Astyanax mexicanus: one gene and its partners. The protein of the gene in region 3 interacts with the protein of the main gene of each other region in a pairwise test. Links are inferred from orthologs where the notes say so. Each region holds a gene or a part of one and is shown on either strand. Other genes may lie near its edges.

Region 1 (7,647 bases), on a different chromosome or scaffold from region 3:
ACTGTAATCAGGTGTGCTTCTGACTGATTGTACAGCCGCTCTGAAAACTCACTTTGCCAGAGTTGATTTCCCACAGCCTGGAAGTCCTCTCATCAAAATCAAAACCGGAGACGTGCCACTGTTACGCTGGTACTGATCTCGCTCGTGATAATGCTGTGTCTTATAATATGGCTGCCAGTCAGCTGAACCTCTTCCTCGCTGTTCAAATGACTCAGGGCAGTTTGATGCAGAAAGTCTGATGTCATTACGAAGAGGAAAATTGGTCCTTTCCCAGGAGCACCAGCTGTTGGTGTCATGGTGACTGTAGTTGTTAATAGGAGGCAGGAGATGCAGAGGTGGTGTAGGAGTCTGAGGTATAGGTGGGGGTGGAGGTAAGAAATGACGGCGGCCAGGAATTGGAAATCGTGGTGGGTCATGTGGAAGCCTTGGTGGTGGAAGATGTTGCCACTGACTTGGATGGCTGTTTGCTGCATCAGGACCGTTCCATGTAATTTCGTTATGTGGTTGAGGCTTCCATGTCCTAGAATTTTCATAGTCTCTTTGAGGTCGAGTAGCTGGATAAGGCCTATACGCACTCTTGTGATCATTTTCCCGAGTCTCTTTTCTGGGAGATGGATTGGTTTCTGGTTCACATAACCGAGAAAGACCTTCTGTGACTACTAATTCTCCATCAACTCCATCAACTTTGTCATGGTGGTCAAACTCCTCAAGCTCTTTGTAAAAATCACTCAGTTCCTTCTCTATTGCTGCGTCGGGTCGACACGCCGGGCCGATGAAAGCAGTGCTGCTGACAGCGATTTCTTTAATGACTTCTTCTCTGCTCCTCTCATAGCTACGTTCTTCTGCATCAACCCCTGAGATTTCCTCTTCACATATATTATCTTTTAAGATTTGTGCTGGTAATTCTAATAAATTCTGATTCACCTCCACAACATTGGCACTGTCCAATATGTTCAGCTGTCCGAGAAGTACAGGATAAGGTAAAGGCCTAGTGCGGTTAGCGTTGCCCACTGAATTATTCCTGTAGGTTACTGCATGTGGTGTATGCATCCGCTGTATCTCAGGGGCAGATTGACCAGGATTTTGTGTCTGCGGGTGCTGAGAGCCTTCTTCTACATTTCCACCCAAAGGTGTAGAAGAAGATTTGACTGGAGTAACATGAGGCATCTGTAAAGAATGATAATTAATACAGATTTAGTATTAATAAGTGCGTATAAAGTAATTCATAATATCCTCCATTTAATACTCAACACCTAAAAGTTTTCATTATGTTAATTAGTGATCTACACTACTATTTCTAGGCTAGTGTGATAAGCATGGCCAGATCGCCGTAGCAAATTCAGCTCAAGAACAGAACAAAAGATGCATACAAAAAGAAGTTCCATAAACCCTAAAACATCATCACAGGACCAATTTGTTGCTTTTAGTTTATAACAGATTATAACAAAATGTCGCATCTACCTTTAAAAAGAAACCAAATTTTTTTTTTTTATGGGAGGTCTGCAAGAAGATACCCTTTACTGCAAACAAAAACAAGGAAAGGTTTGACACAGAACACAAATAAATTATATACAGATATTTAAATATACTTACTGAATACAACTGTTTGCATTTCAAGAGGTCAAGCAGCCATCTTTACAGTGGACGCCTGAAAATCTATATTAAACCCGGATATAGAAGTTACTGTCTTCTACTGGATACTCCACAAGTCTATTCAGAGAGCAAACAATAACAAGATCAATAAAATCATAATCACAGATAAAAAATTTGCAATAGATAACAAAGGGAAACACATTCAACATGTATCACCATATGAATTGTGGAAAGCAGCACATTTTTTCAAATATAAAATACAAATATATATATATTCTTATATTCTAGTTTCATTTGCTCTGATTACTGCTTTGCACACTTTTAGCATTCTCTCAATGAGCTTCAAGAGGTAGACACCTGAATTGGTTTTCAGGTGTGCCTTTTAATTAGTTAATTAGTGGAATTTCTTGCTTTATTAATGGGGTTGGGACCAGTTGTGCAGAAATCAGGTTACTACACAGCCGACGGCCCTATTGGACAACTGTTAAAATACATATTATGCCAAGAACCAATCAGCTAACTAAAGTAAAACGAGTGGCCAACATTACTTTAAAATTGAGGGTCAGTCAGTCCGGAAAATCGCAAAAACTTTAAATGTGTCCCCAAGTGGAGTGCTGGAGGTGCTGAACAATAGCTGTTGCTATCTCAGTTCATCAGGTTTTTTAATGTGGAGGAATATCACTTTTATACTCTTTACTACGTAATTCAATGTGTCCATTGATCGTTTTAATGTTTTAATATTAATCTACAATGTATAAAATACAAGAAATAAAGAAATAAAAAAACACTGAATGAGAAGGTGTGTCCAAACTTTTGACTGGTATGCAGTGATCAGTGATACTGCTCAGGTTCACAGTAAATAAAGATAAAAAAAAGTAGTGAATAAGCAGTGATATTACACATGGTGAATAAAGATGTGTTGCACATGGCAGTAATCAGATTGTATAAGTATTTTAATGTGTTGTGGGTTTTAGCATCTTTGTTATAAAATATACTCAACAGCTAAAGCTCGAATAAGATAAAGTATTAAAAATTAAACAGAAAACAATCGCAATTACTGGCACTTAAATCAGCTAGCTAACTATTTGACTACGTATCTGCTATTTTGTCCAAACAGACTGACAGACAAACAGACCGATGAACAGACTGACAGTCTAACAAATAGACAGACAAAATCTGTGTTTTTCAAAAACCCTAAACCCGCCCAGTAAATCCGATCATTAGCGCGGCTAGTTATTAGCTAGTTAGCTTTAGCAGCGTTCACACTGCTGTTCACTAGCTAACACTATATAGCGCTAAATAACACCAAATAATACTAAATAACACTAACTAATCACACATGTCTCATACCCAGTGAGCAGCAGGAGACTGTAACCTCGCTGTAAAAGCTCCACAGATCTTCAATTCTTTACTGAATCCGAAACTAAAACAGGCTAAACCGGGCAAAACACTGAGACTTCCGTTTGTTTCCGGTCTATGTCAAAATAAAAGCTCCAGTGTAAAACACAACGAGAAATACTGTATAATGAAAAAACTCAACAAACAAACACGCTTATCAATTAATAAAATATGTAAAGAAAAGAAAATACTATCAATCAAAAAATATGAATCGCACAATTAAACAACAATTTAATAGTAATTAATATAATTGTACATGATATCACTATATTGATATATTCAGTATTGGCAAGTAGAGATTTTTTAATTGAAACTATTTGAATGTCCCAAAGATTTTGAGTCAGTTGGTTTTGAATATCTGCTAATAACAAGACCAAGATAAAATAAAAAAAGAAAGAACACATTCAAACTGTCCACTAAGGTTTTTGTAATTCATGTTTAATATTAGTATCAAAACTTACCATTTTAAGTAGAAAATAAACAAGTACTAGATAGCCATATGAATGATTGCTATGTAAATATGCATCTTTTCTTAAAAAATGATCTAAAAAATGCCTGGCTAGATATTTTACTTTATTATATAATATCTCAGTGTAGCCTTTGATGCTTTTATAATGAGAATGTTTTAATGTGTTGAGTCACTCAGCTTAACTGAGAGCTTTATTGAAGGAAATAAACACTAGTTTAGCTGCATATATTACTTTTTCAGCATATTCCAACTTGTGTGAGAGGAAGAAAGCGCCTAAGAGTCAAATGAAGTGTGAATGAAAGTAGTAGATGTCCTCAGCCCACTCATTATCCACTGGGGTTCCCCAGGGCTCGGTACTGGCACCCCTTCTCTTCTCCATATACACCACCTCTCTAGGTCAGGTTATCTGGTTGGTGACCATACATCTCCTTTACACACCATGTGACCTCAGTTGCTCAATCCTTAGTAGATCCAGTGATGTACAGGAGAAAAACACACACAAAATAAAACAGTTGTGAAAATAATAATTTATCCCAGAATTAGAGGTTTTCTTTTAAAACCCTATTCATTGCTCCATTGAAAATCGAGGTTAAGAATATTGTGATTATAACAAAATAATGACACATCTCTGCATATAGATAGATAGATAGATAGATAGATAGATAGATAGATAGATAGATAGATAGATAGATAGATAGATAGATAGATAGATACTTTATTTATCCCGAAGGAAATTTAGGCATCCAGCAGCAACAACACAATACAATAAGCAGTGCAGTAGATGTTGCTAATGGTCATTAAATAATTCAATAAATAACAGAGCAAAGTGCAATGTGCAATGACTTTGATCATGAAAGTGACTGATGTGACATAGAAATATAATATAAATATGCATCTGTAACAAATTTAGTTCTAAAAAGAGAATGTGAAAATGTGAATACCCAATCATGAGTAAAATGTACTTGAATGTAAGTGAGGTTGGGGAAGTGTTAGTGTAAATAATTAAGTGGTTGAATAATGTCCATGTGGTGTGACTGGATTAAACTCAGTCAGTAGCAGCATCCCGTCCCCGATGGGAGGAGTTAAAGAGTCTGATGGCTCTCGGGATGAAGGATTTTCTGAGTCTGTCTGTTGTGCAGCTCTGTGACAGCAGTCTGCCACTGAACACACTCCTCTGCTTCATGATGGTGGTGTAAAGTGGGTGACTATCATTGTTCATGATAGAAAGCAGTTTATCCAAAGTCCTTCTCTCAGCTATTGTAACCAGAGAGTCCAGCTCCATTCCAACCACTGCCCCGGCCCTCCTGACCAGCTTGTCCAGTCGTGATGCATCTCTCCTCTTCATGTTGCCTCCCCAGCACACCACAGCGTAGAAGAGAATGCTGGCCACGATTGATTGGTAGAACATCTGCAGAAGCTTCTTACAGATGTTAAAGGACCGCAGTCTCCTCAGGAAATAGAGCCGACTCTGTCCCTTCCTGTAAAGGGTGCCTGTATTTGTTGACCAATCCAGTTTGTCGTCCAGCAGCAGACCAAGGTACTTGTAGGTCTTTACTGTCTCCACATCAACCCCCTCGATGGAGACTGGCTGCAAGGGTAGTCCAGACCTACGAAAGTCCACCACCATCTCCTTGGTCTTGGATATGTTCAACTGCAGTTGGTTCAGTCGGCACCAAGCAACAAAGTCATCCACCTGTCTCCTGTACTCCTCTTCCTGACCACCCTTGACACACCCAACAATGGCAGTGTCATCCGAGAATTTCTGCAGATGGCACATCTCAGAGTTGTACTGGAAGTCTGATGTGTAGAGAGTGAAAAGGAAGGTGGGAGAGCACAGTCCCCTGTGGTGCTCCAGTGCTACTGACCACAGTCTCAGATGTACTGTCAGTGAGCCTCACATACTGTGGTCTGCAGGTGAGGTAGTCTGTGATCCAGGACACCAGGTGAGGATCCACATGCATCTTCACCAGCTTGTCTCTGAGAAGTGGAGGCTGGATGGTGTTAAAAGCACTGGAGAAATAAAAAAAACATGATTCTCACAGCACTACTGCCCTTGTCAAGATGAGAATAGGTTCGGTGGAGGAGGTAGATAATGGCATCCTCAACACCAATCTTCTCCCGATATGCAAAGGGGGAGAAACAGTCTTACCGGCCTGAAGTCATTGATCTCACCGGGACGAGGTTTCTTGGGAACAGGGACCAGGCATGAGGTTTTCCACAGCGTTGGAACCCTCCCCAACTGCAGGCTCATGTTGAAGATGTTCGACAGGGGTTATCCAAGTTCAAAGGCACAAGCCTTGAGAAGTCTTGGGCTCACCTCGTCAGGTCCAGCTGATTTCCTTGAGCGAAGTCTCCTCAGTGCCCCTGTGACCTGGTCTGCAGAGAGGTATATAGCTCTGGGAAGTCCCTAAAATACACCCTTGTGTTAGATTAGTAGTTTGCTGTGCTCACAAAAAGAGCCTATTTACTGTATATATTAGAAAATTTGAGTTTGTTTACATTGGTTTTACTAAAATCTGCTGAAAAAGTAAACACAATGAGCCGGCTGAGTGGGCTGTGGTGAGAATTTAGTGCTGTTTCTGGAACATATGCAAGCTTGGTCACTCCAAAACCACATTATCAAATTCAGCATGTAGAATCATTTCATATCCAGATGGTTTAAAGCTAAGAAAACCAGCACAAACAAAAGTTCTTTCCAAACCAAACCGAGGTTGCACAGTGTGTCATACCACAAACGGCCTGGAGCAGGAAGAGGGAAGCAGCCACAGGATCAGGATTGGGAAAACTGCCTTGGATGCATTTATTCTAACTGATAGCATAATTATATTTTGACTTGTAATGGTAGTAAGGCTAGGTAAAATAATAAAACTCATGTCTCAATATGTGGCAGAGAAATGTTGATATATGAAATATATCAATATGATATGAAATTGTGGTGACTGGCACGACGGACAGTGATCTACCATGGAATGGCTTTGTGGTGTTTCTACGATTGTGTTGTAGTTGGTTTCACTCTCCAGTGCTTTAAGCAACAGTAAGCCATTAATAAAGAGCTTCTTTGAAAACATGCTGCTCATGTGGATCTTTCCTCCTGCTTGACTCAATATGATGAAACCTTAACCTTAATTATCAGTATTTTTATAACACTAAATTTAACACATATGGTATGTTTAAATAGTAAATAGCTAATTGTGTATCTAAGCAGACCTTTAACTGATTTAATAAACTGCGCTGGATTAAGTCGTTTGAGATGATGAAATAAAGTTGTTATTCTGCTCCTTTAGTTACGATGTTTCTACAAATATTTGCATAGAATTGTACACCATTTCCACACTAACCTATGTACCTATATACTATATTTTTGGAAATAAATCAGATTCAAATGGTAACCTGCGTAGCAGCCATACTATTTTTTTTTAATTATATATAAAATGGTTTTAAATATGTTTACAATATATTGCCCGTGGACCCTTTTGTGAGTATTTGCTAGATTGATCTCTTATTATAAACCATCTCAATTAGATCACAGGATACAGGTTTCATTTCAGCAGAGCCAGACCGTCCTGGACCCTCGTTACGCTGTTTTCCCTCATATCAATCAAAAGATGAAACAAAACTATTTTTAGGACATGAAAAGTGGAAAAAGACAAGATAAAGTGCACAAACAGCAGTCAGGTAAACCTGTGATCATTCTTTTCAAGGCTGGATTTTTATTAAATAGTCTAAGAGCCAAAGACATAATTATAGGTGCACAACTGTTCTCCACAATCTTAAAAGCTTCTTAAACATACTTAAACCAAACTTTGAGCAGAAAAATAGTGAACTAATAGTTTTACACTGTATATTCATTTAACTCCACCAAACACACAATAGACTCTAAAAATACCCTACTATTCCATTTTAACTTACTAACTTTGGTTTATTTGTCATTTTTATTACACTTTAAACAGTGAAGCTGTTACAGATGCCTGGACCAAACCATTGCACCATCTCTAAGGTAGAGAATAAACAGCTAAATTCACTTATTTTGTGTATTCCACCTTAAGTGCTGCCTCTGTTGCAAATTGTTACAGTGTTCATCAGCTGCTTATTTATTTTTAATTTAAGTGTTAAGTGTGTTTCTTATTCTTATAGCTATTCCACATTACATTCTACATAATTGTGGTAAACTAAGAGAGGCGTTAATG
Region 2 (7,844 bases), on a different chromosome or scaffold from region 3:
AATAATTGTGATCTATGGCTTCTGACAACGCACGCAAGACAGACAGACTCTGGACGATATCAAAACCACATTCTATGTAAAAGGCCCCACACAGATATCCTGGAGGTAATTTAACTAAATTTTTGGCATGTTTTGTATACATTTATTATAAGTTTCTTTTTCGTTATGAAGATTGAACAAAATGTGCAGCAAGAGGGGCATTCCCTGGTTACAGCTACAAAGTGAGGTTTCAATCTAGCAATGAAGTCATATTTAACAGTAAAATTTTACTTTCAATTTCAGTAGGGAAAGTTCCACATTTTACAGTAAAGACATCGCCAAAGGTGTAGCTTTAAGGCAAAAAAAATAAATAAATTGTGCTTTCAGCAAAAGACGCATTAAATCTGACACAGGATTACATCCAAACAGTTAGGCTAGTTAATTTCATATGTGATGCCATTAAAAAAATAGAAGGGTGTTTCATACCATATATTTTACACAAGGATCACTATCTGCATAGTGATGTTGCGTAACCAACCAGCACCTTTAGCCTGTTTGAAATGAGAGATGTGGAGTAACAGCCTAGCAATTATAATCCAGCACCCTCAAACAAGGGTGTGGCCTTTTTATGTAGTGTATTGTGCATTCATTTTGGGAGGAATTTCCTGCCCCAAAACATAACTTTCAATTTTAGTATGGGAATTTTATCATTTTACAGTAATGAAGGTATATGGCCCTAACTGTAGCTTTATGGCAAAAATATTGCTTTCACCAATAGATACACTGAATCAAACATAAGTTCAGGCTTCTTAAGTCTAAACACATATTATTCAGGGATATTACTTAAATCCTGGAGAAGTATATGGTCACAGGCACGCCTCACCCTCAGCATGTGCTAAGAGTTCTAGAACAGCACAGGAAACGTTTACACCCACACTTATTAACTTTAATATGCTTCGCCCACTCTCAACCATGAGGCGAAGCAAAAATTGATAACATACCGGTGCTACATACTGTACATAGCACCAGCATCACTATCTGCATAGTGAGGTAATAAACCGATACCATCAGGCCATCCAAGTGATTGATGGACAGATGTTGAGTAACAGCTTAACAATAAGATCTAGCACTCTTAAACACAGGTGTGGCCTTTCAATCTACTGTATTGTAATTCTTATTGTAATCCTTTTCTATGCATTTCTATCAAAGCTACCAGAACCCGCCCTGTTCTGCACAGGCTCACAAAACCCAAAAGAGCTGTGTATTATAGAACAGACTATTTCTTTAGCTGTGCATTACAAAAACACTAAAAATCATTTTACATCAGATGTGTTAATAGCTATGAATGTCCCTCCTAAATTGTGAAACCTGTCTCTCCTAAATTGTGATTTTACAGGAAAGGCCAAAAATGTCCTTAACTCTAAATGAAAGTTAATGTAAAATGAGTAATTTTAAAGCATTTCTAGTAGTCCATTCATTCAGAAATATTTACACAGTATACACAGCAGCTACATGGTTCAAATGAAGATACACATTTGTTTATTGGACAGAAGCAAGTGATGTATTTAATGAATAATAAAACTGGAACATTCACAAAATTATTTAGCTAGCAGTTATATAGAAGTTTTAGTCGGTTTTTGCCATATCTTGTATCTTTTTTTAAATAAATTTTAAAAATCCCTATCAATTCATATTGTGATAATAGTGCTATTCTTCTGTTGTTGTTTTGTTTTGAGTTTTTTGCTATTTACAGTGCAACTTTATAGTGGTATATTCTGTATGATAGTTTACATTCAAAATTTATACACGCACTAAATAATCTGCACTTTAGTATTTGGTAGTTTTTTTTGTTACTTGTGTTACTGTTTGTTACATTAAGAATATTCAAAATCTTGGAAAGTTACTGTTACATAATGGAGAATAGTTACAGATTTGTTGAAGGTTTAAAACTTTTCATGTATATTGTTGCAGTAGTATATTGTTGAACATTAATTTATTACATATATATATATATATATATATATATATATATATATATATATATATATATATATATATATATATATATATATATATATTTTTTTTTTTTTTTTTTTAATTCCCTTGTCATATCATTAAAATTATGGTTATTGCGCAAATACCCTGAAGTATCGTGATAATGTTTTAGGACCATCTTACCCACCATTCATGTACAGAATTTTGGGGGGAAATCAGTCCAGTAATTTCCAAACGTAGAGCTATAAATTAACATTAAACAAACCCACAACTAAGCAATTGGGGACGCACCTAGTTCGCTTTCCAGTTTGCGGTCTACAATGACTTTTCTGGACTTTTCCCCACTCACTCGCTCGCTCGCTCGTAGGATAGTTAGCTCGCTACCACCTGTCATTACCACCATGGGTAGAACTTCACATTCACATATTCACATTATTAAACACATTCGCTAAATATCTTTATTATTACTACTACTACTACTACTACTACTACTACTACTACTACTAAGTTACTACTATGTAACCAGATTAGCTAGCTCTAGAGGTGACACCATGACAAAAACACCCTTGGTTGACACAGCTAACCTAGCGTTAGCTAGCTAGTTACGTTAGGATACTAAGAGACCTGCTAGACTGCAGCAACAAAGAGCAGCTGACCTTAAACGGAGCTTAATTAGCAAGATAAACCACCCTGTTTTCTGCCTGTGAACCTAAAAAGCAAAACTGTTCGAGTTGTGATCGATTAATCACCAGAGACACGGAGTTTCGACCTTCGGTCTGTCTGCAGTGTTGTTGTAGCAGCTGTGTTAGCTAGCTACTAACGTTAAGCTAGTTTAGCTAAGCTAGAACTAGCGTAAACGATTTAGCGGCATTTAAAGTCACTAAAGCAACCGTTTTAGTGTCAACGTACCTTCAGGAGACCAGTCAGATGAATCCAGTCCTATTCTGCCGTTCACAAGGTTTAACTTTCAGACAGACTGCCTCCCTTCCTCTATCCTGCTCTTATACTGCCACCAGCTAGCTACAGAAAAGCGGAAGGAACAATTAGCCACGCCCACACGATTTTATGGACCATAGTGACTAGTGTGTGTCTCTCACACTAAAGCAGACCTTTTTTATAGATACAAAACTAAATGGGAAAAAGAACTGGGTTTGGCTATAGATCAAAATTTGTGTGAAGATCTTTATAGAGATCTTATAGGGATCACATCTACCACAAGCTTAAGACTGATTCGATCTAATTTCCTACACCAACTTTATTATACTCCAATTAAGCTGCACACTTTAAATTCAAAGGTGTCCCCCCCTTTCTTACAGATGTGGTGTTACTGATGGTATTTTCCCTCACTGTACATAGTCATGCCCTAAAGTACATGACTTCTGGCAGAAAATTTGTAATATGTTATCTGAGATTCTTGGTATCTTTTTTCCAATAGGTTCAGAAGTTTGACTATTGGGTAATTAAAAAAAAAAGTTGCACCATAAGGCTCACTGAAATCTTGTTAAAATATATGTATTTCTGAAATTAACCTTTGTATACCCCTAGAAAAGATCACCTACCATTTAAGAAACAAATTGGAAATATTTTGGTATGGCAGCCCTTCTTTGACTATATTAAAAAAGACTCATTTGAAAAGACCCATTGATTTATGGTGATGTAAGATCTCTTTAAATTTTATCGTTGACTATATATATGTTAGTTGTACACTAGGTTAACCATATTTGTATTAATTGTATTTATACTATATGTATATGTATAAATATATTATACTGTATGTCCTATCAGAAAAAATGTCAATTTCTTTTATTTACATTTTTTTTAGTATTGTATTAGTTGTGTTTTATGTTCAAACTAAAACTAAATAAAATATCCAAAAAAAACAGACATTTTATTTTATTGTTGAAAGAACATACAAATATATGAGATATATATGTCATGTCACAGAACAAGGATTAAAGAGTACTGTTACACTTTATCAAGCCTTAAGTACTTGCACTTGTTTTATGCTGCTGCTACTTCCCTTTATGTTATGTGTAGTTATCTTGCTATCTATTTCAATTAAATATTTTATTCTTATTTTATTTTATCTACATTACAATTGCTCTTTTGGGTGGAACTGAGCTGTGAGATAACATTTCTGTTCCACCTCATGTACCACGTGATGCGAATGACAATAAAGTCTTACTGAATCCTTGAATCCTTGAGGGTCTAATAAAATAAGAAAAAGAAAAAAAGAGTCCTGTAGTCCTTTGGATTCACGTACGTGAAGTATAGTAGCATGTGTATAAACTTTAAATGTAACATATTCTACAAAATATACCCCTTTAAAGTTTCACTGTAAATAGCAAAAAAATCTATATATTTCTGTTTGCGTTTGTGTCCATACTGCTGCATTATGGAAGTAAAACAGTGTCCATACTGCATGGCTGAATGCCAAGTGGAGTCGGCACAACACCAACTTCCTGTAATTGATCTAAAAGGTTGAACCATTTAGAAAAGTGTTTTCACACTGCAGATGAACTGGACCATAGTTCAGTATATCCAGAGCTTGGTTGTAAACTGAAAAGTCTGAAAGTCAGTAGAAAGTAGGTGTGAAATCACCCTTAAATGCTAAATAAAATGTTTCACAGACACAGTTTTATAACACAAGTGATGGATTTATTGGATTTTAAACTTAAAATATTACAGTCATGTGCCCTCTATACAAAAGAAAAAAAAAACAAATGAGAAAAAAAAAATTATGTTAATATGCAAAAGTCATAATGATAAACTCATGCTTCCACAGATGTTTCAGGTGTACCTTTGACATAGACGGTTTAATATACATATTGTGGTTAAATGGAAGTGTTAGAAAAAGAAAAAAGCAGTAAAAAGAGAGAAATAGGCTAACCCAAACAAATAACCCCAGCTCCTATTTACAAAACCCTATTTTATTAGTACAAAAACACAGTGTTTCAAATAAATCATTTAATAAAACAAAGTGATTAAATGTGTTAATATGATTAATATGACTATGTCAATAAACACAGCCTAGGTGTCTACAGGTGTCTACAGAATAAACTTTCTTGTGCTCAAAATATACACTCCCTGTAATGTGATTCAAATCCCTTTTACAGCAGCTTCAGGAAAGCTAAAGTTTGATTGCAGTTTATTTTCTGGAAACAACATTCATAGTTTTATGTAGAGTATGCCATTTCATCATTGTGTGGGTAGCCATGCTCTGAAATCAGGCCAACAGAAATCTACCTACCTACAAATACTTTAATCTGCCTGTAAAATCTAGCATAAACTACCCACTGACGACACACTACACATCTCTCAGAACAGCAGAAAACTAAAGACTTATGTTTATGTGGGCTGACAATAAAGTAGCAAAATTAGCAGAATAAAATATAAAACCACATAATTATTTATATATATAATTATACAAGTATTATATCCAAATATATCCATATGCACAATTGTAAGGAATACTTGTTAATGATTCACATCATAATAGTTTTTGTGTCAAAGTGGAATCTTAGCTATAGGTTTTGATTTTCTGAGTGATGAAAGCACAACACACAGGGCACTTTTCAACAGAATTGGAACATTTTCTGCAGGTGACCAAGTGCCCACATGGGATGAAGGCAATGGAACGGTCATTATCCATGCAAACTTTGCAGAGCTTTTCACGCTGGAGCTTCTCCAGTGTCTTTAAAGGGTCCTCATCTGCAACACATAAGGAAAAAAAACACTGTTTACAAAAGAACATGAGACAGTATAACCTTTCTAAAGATAATTTACAAATAACATCACTTCATAGAAAAATCATATAAAAATGCACGGCAACAACATATTAAAAAACCTAAGGTGTACTCACACTAAACCTGGTTGCCCTGTACCATGCCTGAGCATTATTGTCCTAAATTCATGTTTATCCTATTGCAAATACTCTTAAAACAATTGTGTTCTGGTTTCACAATAATAATACAAGTCTGTCATAGAAAATTAGAACAGTGTGCATTTTACTTTAATATCAAGCTGCAAAAATTGCTGAAATTATATATTGTGTATTGTGCCCTATGCCCTGGCACAGTTGGACAAACTGGACAAAGACTTTACATTATGCTGATTATGCTCATTATTTGTAATATGTGCATTTCAAATCTTCTTACCTCTCTCTTTATTTGAGAATACATTTTTACTGCTATCACTCTTCAGCTCCATCAGTATGTTCCCCACATCATGCCCCAAGATAAAGAAGCAGTTTGGGTTGAACTTGGAATGTTCACTCCAGGGAACATCACCTTCCTTCCAGGCTTTCAGTATGCCTCCACAGCAGAAGCACTGCACCAGGTCATTTATGGTTGGTTTAGGCACATAAAACAGCCCAGCCCCCACCAAGTCATTGGGCTGGACCGGGGACGAGGAGGGCCAGTTGCTGAACGTCCTCAGCCGGGCTTCTTCACTCCTCATGTGTGGCACTTTCGGGTAGGGGGACTCATTCACAATCTCTCCTTTGTGGAGTCTGATGGCTTTCGCCTCTTGATTGGAACTGCTGGCCTTAGAGGAATGATCACCTATGAGGTTCCTCCTACTATTAAAACAGGACAAGTCCTGTGATCCATCATGGGTTTCGAGTGTGCCAGCAGTGTTGAAATCAGCCATTGTCACAGTGTGTGTCTAAATAAGAGAAACAGATAGCACTAAATTGGTTGTTAAAACATACAACCCATTCACATCCCGAATAAAAGGTAACATAGTTGAATTTACTAATTTATTAAACTAGTAATTTTGAAAACTGAAATAGGCATTTAGATTTTTTTTGCATTAACATACCTTCTGGAGATCCGTCAGATATATATAAAACCACTTCCTCTGCTCTAATGAATGCACTGTTGTTAAAGCTCTAGCTAAATAATAAGAAAGAGAAAGTGACGCCCCATGGGAACACCCACATGCTTTGTCTGACAATCAGAAGAAGTGTTTACTGGGATGGTCTGATAGAAACGGCCTCTGTCTTTTTTTCTGACAATTAATAATGAAAAATTCATGCTTCCACAGCAATTCAAGAATTGCCCATGTAAAACAATCAAAATTACTATTTTTTGTGTTTTATGTCTTTGAACCGTGTTACATGTGTATTGAAAACATAACAATAGTACTCGTAAAAGTAAAAGATGAAGGGTATATATACAGTATTAGGCAGTGGGTGTACTGTGTGAAGATCCAAATGACTCTGACAGGCCCAATTGTGATGGTTAGGTGACTGGGTCAGACCCTAATAGCAAAGAACATTAAATAAACATAATAAAAAAACAACAACCATAAAACAATATTTTTTAACTATGCCTAATAGTAATCGGTTAATGTTGCAATTCTGACATTGAATCAAAATTTATTTAAAGGTTTTGAATGATTTGTTCTCTAAATATTCACTCAATATTCACTTTTAGGAGAATGGTACTTCCCACAAATAATAATATTAATATTAATAATTATTATTATTTAACTCTGCAACTTTCTACTCTGCAAGAACACAGTACAGGCCATAAGAAGATACATATTTACTGTAAATAATGTTTAGTACAAACCAAACATATAAAATCATAAATTTGAATCATCATAAAATAGATGTGCAGAAATAAATCAGTTAAAAGAGAAAAACAGAGACCACAAACCAACTTAAAGCGCTTCATGGCACATGGACCCACGAACTGCACAATCGTTAACAAATTATTTGAAATGAATCACTTAATAAAACAAAGTAATAATAAATAACATTTATAGAAAGATACTTTGTTAATAAACATTGTGTGGGTGTCTACAGGGGTTGAGATTTAACTTCCTTGTGGGATTCCCCTGTTTAATTCCTTTTGGCAGCAGCT
Region 3 (7,576 bases):
TTTGCAATACAGGGGCATAATCTTAAGATTGCCCATATTTTAGCCTTTTTACAATATGTGTTCTTGAGGACATTAAATAATAAAAATATTTCACAGAAAAAAATAAATGTAAATAACTTCTACACTATTATTAATTAAACATTTGCTGCTTTTTAAAAGGGTATAAATGCACTACTATGCTATTAGGTTTTTAATATACAAGTGTAGGAATGACCTAAAAATAAGGATCTAGTGATACAGACTGAATTTTTATCTGATTTATGTTTGTATACATACACACAGTAATTTGCCAATATAGGTGAATGGGATATAATAAATATAATACAATTATATTAATATAATAAAAGCCTACACGTTTTTAAGTGTGCTTTTGATCATCCAACATTCTGACTTCACTACCACTGAATGCAATCAAAGCCTTAATTGTAAAAATAAAAATCGAGTAAAAGGCCGTCTCTGGACAAAAGAGCCAGTTGCTTCAGAAAAAGCAGGATAAACTCTCTTTTGGATTTTGGAAAAAACATTAAATAAGATGGTGTTCCAATACTTTTTAATGCTTTATTTATAAAGCATGTAAGAGTTTGGGGTGTTTTTTGAATACTGGAACTAGTACTGTGTATTTAAAAGTTATATGAACATCAAACAGACACTGACTACAGATGTAAACAGAGACATCCTCATGAACCCATCCCCAAATTTCCTGCTCAACAGGTCTAGCAGAGGGATGAATACTCTGAAATTTCTCTGCCCTGCAGGCCCCCCATTCCACAGTTTCTGTAGTGATTGTAAGCTGAAATAATTTAAACAAGGAAATAACAAGAGATGCAAAAAACGTTGGGTAAACTAATTGATCTGGTCAAAAAAGGAAGAAAAAAAAACTACTTTGTTTTCCATATAACAAATTTAAGTAAGTTAAATATGGGGGTGCAGCATTTCTTCTTTACTTTAGGATTTTTGCAGCAGCAGCGGCACACCCAAACACCACCAAAACCTCCCCCGGGCTGATAAGAGACCTGCTATTTACAATGCAGTGAGCAAACAAACTGCAGGTTCAAGTTCATTATATGCTCTACTCACAAATGAAATTAAACAAAGCATTTCGCACCACCTATGCTTAGTTTAAGTTGAATTCACAGTTGAGGTAAATATGTGATTAGACTCGCACTGGTGAGGCACATTTATGATTAGAACTGCACTGTTGAGGAAAATATATGATAATGTACGATAATTATCATGACAGCTAAAGGAAGAGATGCCTAGAAATGAAGACAGCTGCAGGACAAGGCCTGGCAAAGCATCATAAAGGATAAATACCCAGTGTGTGGTGATGTTCATGGGTTCCAGAGTTCAGGCAGTCATTGCTTGAAAATGTTTCTCAACAAAAGATAAAAAACTTACATTTTATTAATGGTAAAGTTCATAAATTATATTTATATTTTTGTTTAACCCCCTGAATTTAATCTGAAATTCAATTAAGTTTAATTACAGTTCAGATGTTCAAATCCAGTGTGGTGGCATGCAGAAACAAAATTAAGAGCATTTTGTCACTGTTTAAATATTTATGGCCCTAACTGTATATTTGTTAAGAGGTTCAGTGAATGTTGCCCTTTATTGCTGTGTAATTATTTTTAACATTTTTTTTTTTTCAGCCTTCATTTTTAAAATTGTATTGATATATCTATTTATAAAACAGTTTATAATGGAGTGAATGGGTCAACAAACCTATTTAAATGCATTCAGATTAACAACTGAAACTGTCGCAACAGCGCCATCTACAGGTGAAAGATAGTATGTGCTACAGAGAGCAGGCGGACCAGAAAACACTAAGATACGACTAGAATAAGAATTAATGTCATTATAATTTTGGGTACATATCATTCTCATCTGTAAATGGAAAACCTCAGACCTTTTTATTTAGTAATAATAATTTATACATGTATTTATACCTTGACCTAACAAAAAGACTAAAGGTATATTTGTACATGAAAAAATATTTAATTTTGCTCCTTGTATTTTTGTGTACTGTGAGTTTGTTTTCCCTTTTACTGATTCAAACTGTCATTTAAATAAAAATCGAAAATAAAATAAATGTAAATATAATGAAATAATAATAATAATAATAATATAATTAATAATTATAATAAATAAGTTAGCCACTGTCTCTACGATTCTAGTATTAGAACAGGTAAGTCTAGTCTAAATAAAGACCAGTTTATTGACCATATTAAACGATTCACATTGTTTGCGCTGGTGATTCTATGGAACTCCTATAAGGCTACGTTTACATTAAAACTGAACTGAAGTGACTCAAATATAGTGTTTTTATAGCTGTGTGAACGTGCCAATTTCCTTTTTTTAATTAAATTTAAGTCAATTTTATATATGATCCTAAATCGGATACGTATCCGATCCACGGACATGCAATAAGAATGTGAACGGTCCAGCAAAAGATGCTCCACATATGCGCTGCGGACAAACGCATCCATTTCACCTTTATAAAGCTACGAGTCGTCTCTCAAATATGACGTTTTTTGTTGGTGGTGAAGAAGGCGACGTTTACGTTTTTCTCAAATCAATGTACAGATTCATTCACATTACGCACAGATACAGGTCACTTATATTTGTGAATGTGAACCGTCACCGAATCTGAACTGAGCAAGAATCGGATTTGAGCAACGTGGCTTGTAATGTGAACTCTGAATACAGCAGCTAATACTTTTCATTTCAGTTTTTAAAGCCATTCAGATATCTGACCACGTTTTACAGCACCAACTACATCACACACACAGTCTGTCCACACACTGTTCACACAGCTCGAGCAGTAGCAGCAGCAGCGCTGTTCGCGCGCTCAGGGCGGCTGCTGGAGTCACTGACCTGCCCTCCGATCGTCACGTCGAAGAAGACGATGGGGTTGTTGGGGTTTGAGGGCTGAACGTTCATTCTGGAGTAAAACTGCAGGTTAAAAAAACTTCAGAACAGAAACTTCACTCTCCTTCACGCTAACACAGGAACCCGTTTCAAACTGCTCCGCTACGGCAAGCGCGACTGGACATTTCTACGAGGCTCCACGAGGGACAAACCGAAAACCATTTTCGTAACGCCTCAAGACTAGCTGGTATATTTAATATTTTCCCCAATTTAAAGCAGAAATGACCAGTACATGTTTTTATTTTTACTTTAAACGTGGGGGGAGAGATTTTCCTTTTAATAATTAGAAGCCCTTTCCTGCATTCTGGTGTATTTTCTACAAATAGTTTAACTCCTAATTTTACCTACAATTTAACCTAAAAGTGTGTGCACAGAAACATAATTTACCTCATGAAAGATGCTTTAAAGTGTCACTCAGGTGGTTTAACTGTCCCTTTGGACACATTTTGGACATGTTTTGAGCAGGAGTCTAGCAGCTGTGCCCCATGAATCTCTTCCTTTCTCTCTGCTCCTACTCCTAGCCCCTCCCACTACTCAGGCTGTTGTCTGACAAGTAAATGAACCAATTATCTTCCACCAACTAAAAAATGTGGCAACAGAAATTAATGAATTAAAGTGTGAAAGGACTAAAAATTTTATCTAAAACTTTATTTAAATAACAGGGAAAGTCCCCAGAGCTACATAATAGTTCCTGTTACCCATATCAATTTCTAAATAATAATAATAATCTAAAACTGATACCAATCAAATCAATCAAAATTGAATCAGATAAATTTAGTGAGCTGCTCATAGTTTTGTTTTTTATTGTGGGCAGATGACTGTAAATATTGTAAAGTTAAAATCATGATGTAATGTGAATGACATAAGTGTCATAATTTTTTTTTTAACATTTTATTCCAGAAATAATGTCATCTATGGGGCGTACATTTTGTCACCTTGCAACCACACACAAACATATTTTATTAAGATTTTAGGTGATAGATTAACACAAAGTAGCACGTAATTGTGAAGTGGAATGAAAAATGATTCACTCAAAATTTTGTCAAATAAAAATCTGAAAAGTGTGATGTGCAAAAGGATTCAGCCCCCTTTACTCCATGGAACTCAATATACAGATCAGAGATAAAATTGTGAAGACATTTAAAGCAGAGTTAGATTATAAAAACATATCTCCTACTTTGAGCATCCTAAGGACCACTGTTTAATCCATCATCAAAATATGGAATAAAGTATTTTACAACTGCAAACCTACCAAAGACATGGCTGTCCACCCAAATTGACAGATCAAGCAAGGGGAGCACTAGTCAAAGACGCAGCTAAAAGATCCATGGTCACTGTGGAGGAGCTGCAAAAATCCACAGTTCAGGTCCACAGGACAACTTTTAGTTGGGGGCTCTACAAATCTTGCCTTTATGAAAGAGTGGCAAGAAGAAAACCATAGTTGAAAGAAAAACATAAGAAGTTTGCCACAAGCCTAAAAGCAAAGCGCTATGTGTAACAGAAAAGTAACACTGCTCTTTGCCCTGACACCATCCCCACTGTTAAACATGGTGGTGGCATCATCACGATGTGGGGATGCTTCTGTTAGCAGGAACAAGGAAGCTGGTGAGAGTTGATGGGAAGATGGATGGAGCTCAACACAGGGCAATCCTGAAAAAGAAAACCTGTTGGAGGCAAAAGACTTGAGACTGGAAAGAAGATTCACCTTCCAGCAAGACAGTGACCCTAAACATTCAGCCAGAGCTACAGTGAAATGATTTAGATCAATGAATATTAATATGTTAGAATGGCCCAGTCAAAGTCCCGACCTAAATCCTATTGAGCTTCTGTGACGAGATGTTTATTACTGTTCATCGACGCTCTCCATCCAACCTGACTAAGCTTGAGCTAAGTCTCTAGATGCACAAAACTGATAGACATACCTCAAAAGATGTGCAGCTGTAATTGCAGCGAAAGGTTGCTCTACTAAGTGTTAATATAGGGGGGCTGAATACTTTTGCACATCAAACAAGATTATTTGATTAAAATGTAATTTTTTATTGACTTTACAATTATGTGCTACTTTGTGTTGGTCCATCACTTAAAACCAATAAAATAAATGTAGGGTTGTGGTTGTAAGGTGACAAAATGAGAAAATGTTAAAGGGGTATGAATACTTTTGCAAGCCACTTTGTGTCACTTACGGACTTCATAAGTTAAAGTAATAGACAGACTGCTGTAAGATACTGAACAGCTTTTAAAGGGTCTGTGATACATAAGTCACATGAGCTTTTCTGGGTTAATGCATAGGTCCCATAATTTACCATTCAGTTTTTACCGAACGTATTTAATCATTTTATCAATTTAAAAACAATGTTCCCTTTAATGTAATTGGCATTGATTCCATGAGTTTTCTTCATACAAAAACATACAACATATTTTCCTTACCTTCAAATAAAACCTGAGAGGGTTCTAATTTAAGAAAATAAGAAACAACTTACTACACTGCTCAAAAAAATAAAGGGAACACTCAAATAACACATCCTAGATCTGAATTAATGAAATATTCTCATTGAATACTTTGTTCTGTACAAAGTTGAATGTGCTGACAACAAAATCACACAAAAATCATCAATGGAAATAAAATGTATTAACCAATGGAGGCCTGGATTTGGAGCCACACACAAAATTAAAGTGAAAAAACACACTACAGGCTGATCCAACTTTAATGTAATGTCCTTAAAACAAGTCAAAATGAGGCTCAGTATTGTGTGTGGCCTACACGTGCCTGTATGACCTCCCTACAACGCCTGGGCATGCTCCTGATGAGGTGGCGGATGGTCTCCTGAGGGATCTCCTCCCAGACCTGGACTAAAGCATCCGCCAACTTCTGGACAGTCTGTGGTGCAACGTGACGTTGGTGGATGGAGCGAGACATGATGTCCCAGATGTGCTCAATCGGATTCAGGTCTGGGGAACGGGCGGGCCAGTCCATAGCTTCAATGCCTTCATCTTGCAGGAACTGCTGACACACTCCAGCCACATGAGGTCTAGCATTGTCCTGCATTAGGAGGAACCCAGGGCCAACCGCACCAGCATATGGTCTCACAAGGGGTCTGAGGATCTCATCTCGGTACCTAATGGCAGTCAGGCTACCTCTGGTGAGCACATGGAGGGCTGTGCGGCCCTCCAAAGAAATGCCACCCCACACCATTACTGACCCACTGCCAAACCGGTCATGCTGAAGGATGTTGCAGGCAGCAGACCGCTCTCCACGGCGTCTCCAGACTCTGTCACGTCTGTCATGTGCTCAGTATGAACCTGCTTTCATCTGTGAAGAGCACAAGGCGCCAGTGGTGAATTTGCCAATCCTGGTGTTCTCTGGCAAATGCCAAGCGTCCTGCACGGTGTTGGGCTGTGAGCACAACCCCCATCTGTGGACGTCGGGCCCTCATACCATCCTCATGGAGTCGGTTTCTAACCGTTTGTGCAGACACATGCACATTTGTGGCCTGCTGGAGGTCATTTTGCAGGGCTCTGGCAGTGCTCCTCCTGTTCCTTCTTGCACAAAGGCGGAGGTAGCGGTCCTGCTGCTCGGTTGTTGTCTCCTGGTAGCGCCTCCAGCCTCTAGACACTACGCTGACAGACACAGCAAACCTTCTTGCCACAGCTCGCATTGATGTGCCATCCTGGATGAGCTGCACTACCTGAGCCACTTCTGGGGGTTGTAGAGTCCGTCTCATGCTACCACGAGTGTGAAAGAACCACCAACATTCAAAACTGACCAAAACATCAGCCAGACAGCATAGGTTCTGAGACGTGGTCTGTGGTCCCCACCTGCAGAACCACTCCTTTATTGAGTGTGTCTTGCTAATTGCCAATAATTTCCACCTGTTGTCTATTCCATTTGCACAACAGCAGGTGAAATTGATTGTCAATCAGTGTTGCTTCCTAAGTGGACAGTTTAATTTCACAGAAGTTTGATTTACTTGGAGTTATATTGTGTTATTTGAGTGTTCCCTTTATTTTTTTGAGCAGTGTATATAAGTTCTATATAAAATACTATATAAAAGGTAGATTAATTTAAAAGCTCTCAATTAACAGGTGCAATAAAGTGCAATAATCTGTATTATAATACTTATAATATACACACACACAATAAGCTTTAATTCCAAAATCAGAAAAAGAAAACATCATTTAAAATTTCAATTTAATGAAAGTTCTTTCAAAACATATAGTACAGCATCATGTAGCATGTAAGCCATAATTAATTTAATAAAATGACCCACATAAAAAAGGAAAGAAAAAACAACAACAATTTAGACAGAAGAAGGTCCCTTAAAAGGGCAAGTGTCCAGCGAAGATTTCTATCTCCTGGGCCAGTTGTGGTGAAATCCTCTGGAATTATACAAATGTATTAATACCATACAACAATGCTGTATAAATTAATACTACTTAATATTTAAAGAATCCGGCAAAATAATCCATGTATTCTATTACCTTTCGGACTTGGCAGGCATGCCTCTGCCTCCAGGACCCTGCCTGTGTCCTCTTGGGTTTTTCTACGAAAAAATAAACAGTTTTATTTTATCTCCATCCTCTCATAAACTGAATATTAAACTGCAGTCTATAGACTGAGATGAATAGCATTATTGTAGAATAAAAATAA

The links.
Region 1: the proteins of ppih (region 3) and n4bp2l2 interact in binary tests that used the Homo sapiens proteins (3 or more experiments, as listed by UniProt). The two-hybrid records come from large-scale screens. The link is inferred for Astyanax mexicanus from reciprocal best matches to the Homo sapiens genes PPIH and N4BP2L2.
Region 2: the proteins of ppih (region 3) and E3 ubiquitin-protein ligase XIAP interact in binary tests that used the Homo sapiens proteins (3 or more experiments, as listed by UniProt). The two-hybrid records come from large-scale screens. The link is inferred for Astyanax mexicanus from reciprocal best matches to the Homo sapiens genes PPIH and XIAP.

What each region holds. Positions count from the first base shown.
Region 1 is NC_064425.1:46,077,409-46,085,055, forward strand, and holds the start of n4bp2l2 (NEDD4-binding protein 2-like 2), read right to left. Parts: upstream 3,068-7,647; 5' UTR 2,944-3,067; intron 1,711-2,943; 5' UTR 1,594-1,710; intron 1,168-1,593; coding exon 53-1,167; intron 1-52.
Region 2 is NC_064417.1:41,604,817-41,612,660, reverse strand, and holds the start of E3 ubiquitin-protein ligase XIAP, read right to left. Parts: upstream 3,023-7,844; 5' UTR 2,884-3,022; intron 1-2,883. Other genes in the region: E3 ubiquitin-protein ligase XIAP-like, read right to left, coding at 5,495-5,685, 6,132-6,624.
Region 3 is NC_064419.1:17,955,152-17,962,727, reverse strand, and holds the start of ppih (peptidyl-prolyl cis-trans isomerase H), read right to left. Parts: upstream 3,058-7,576; 5' UTR 2,941-3,057; coding exon 2,875-2,940; intron 1-2,874. Other genes in the region: exosc10 (exosome component 10), read right to left, coding at 7,275-7,305, 7,408-7,469. UniProt on the Homo sapiens protein: PPIase that catalyzes the cis-trans isomerization of proline imidic peptide bonds in oligopeptides and may therefore assist protein folding. Participates in pre-mRNA splicing.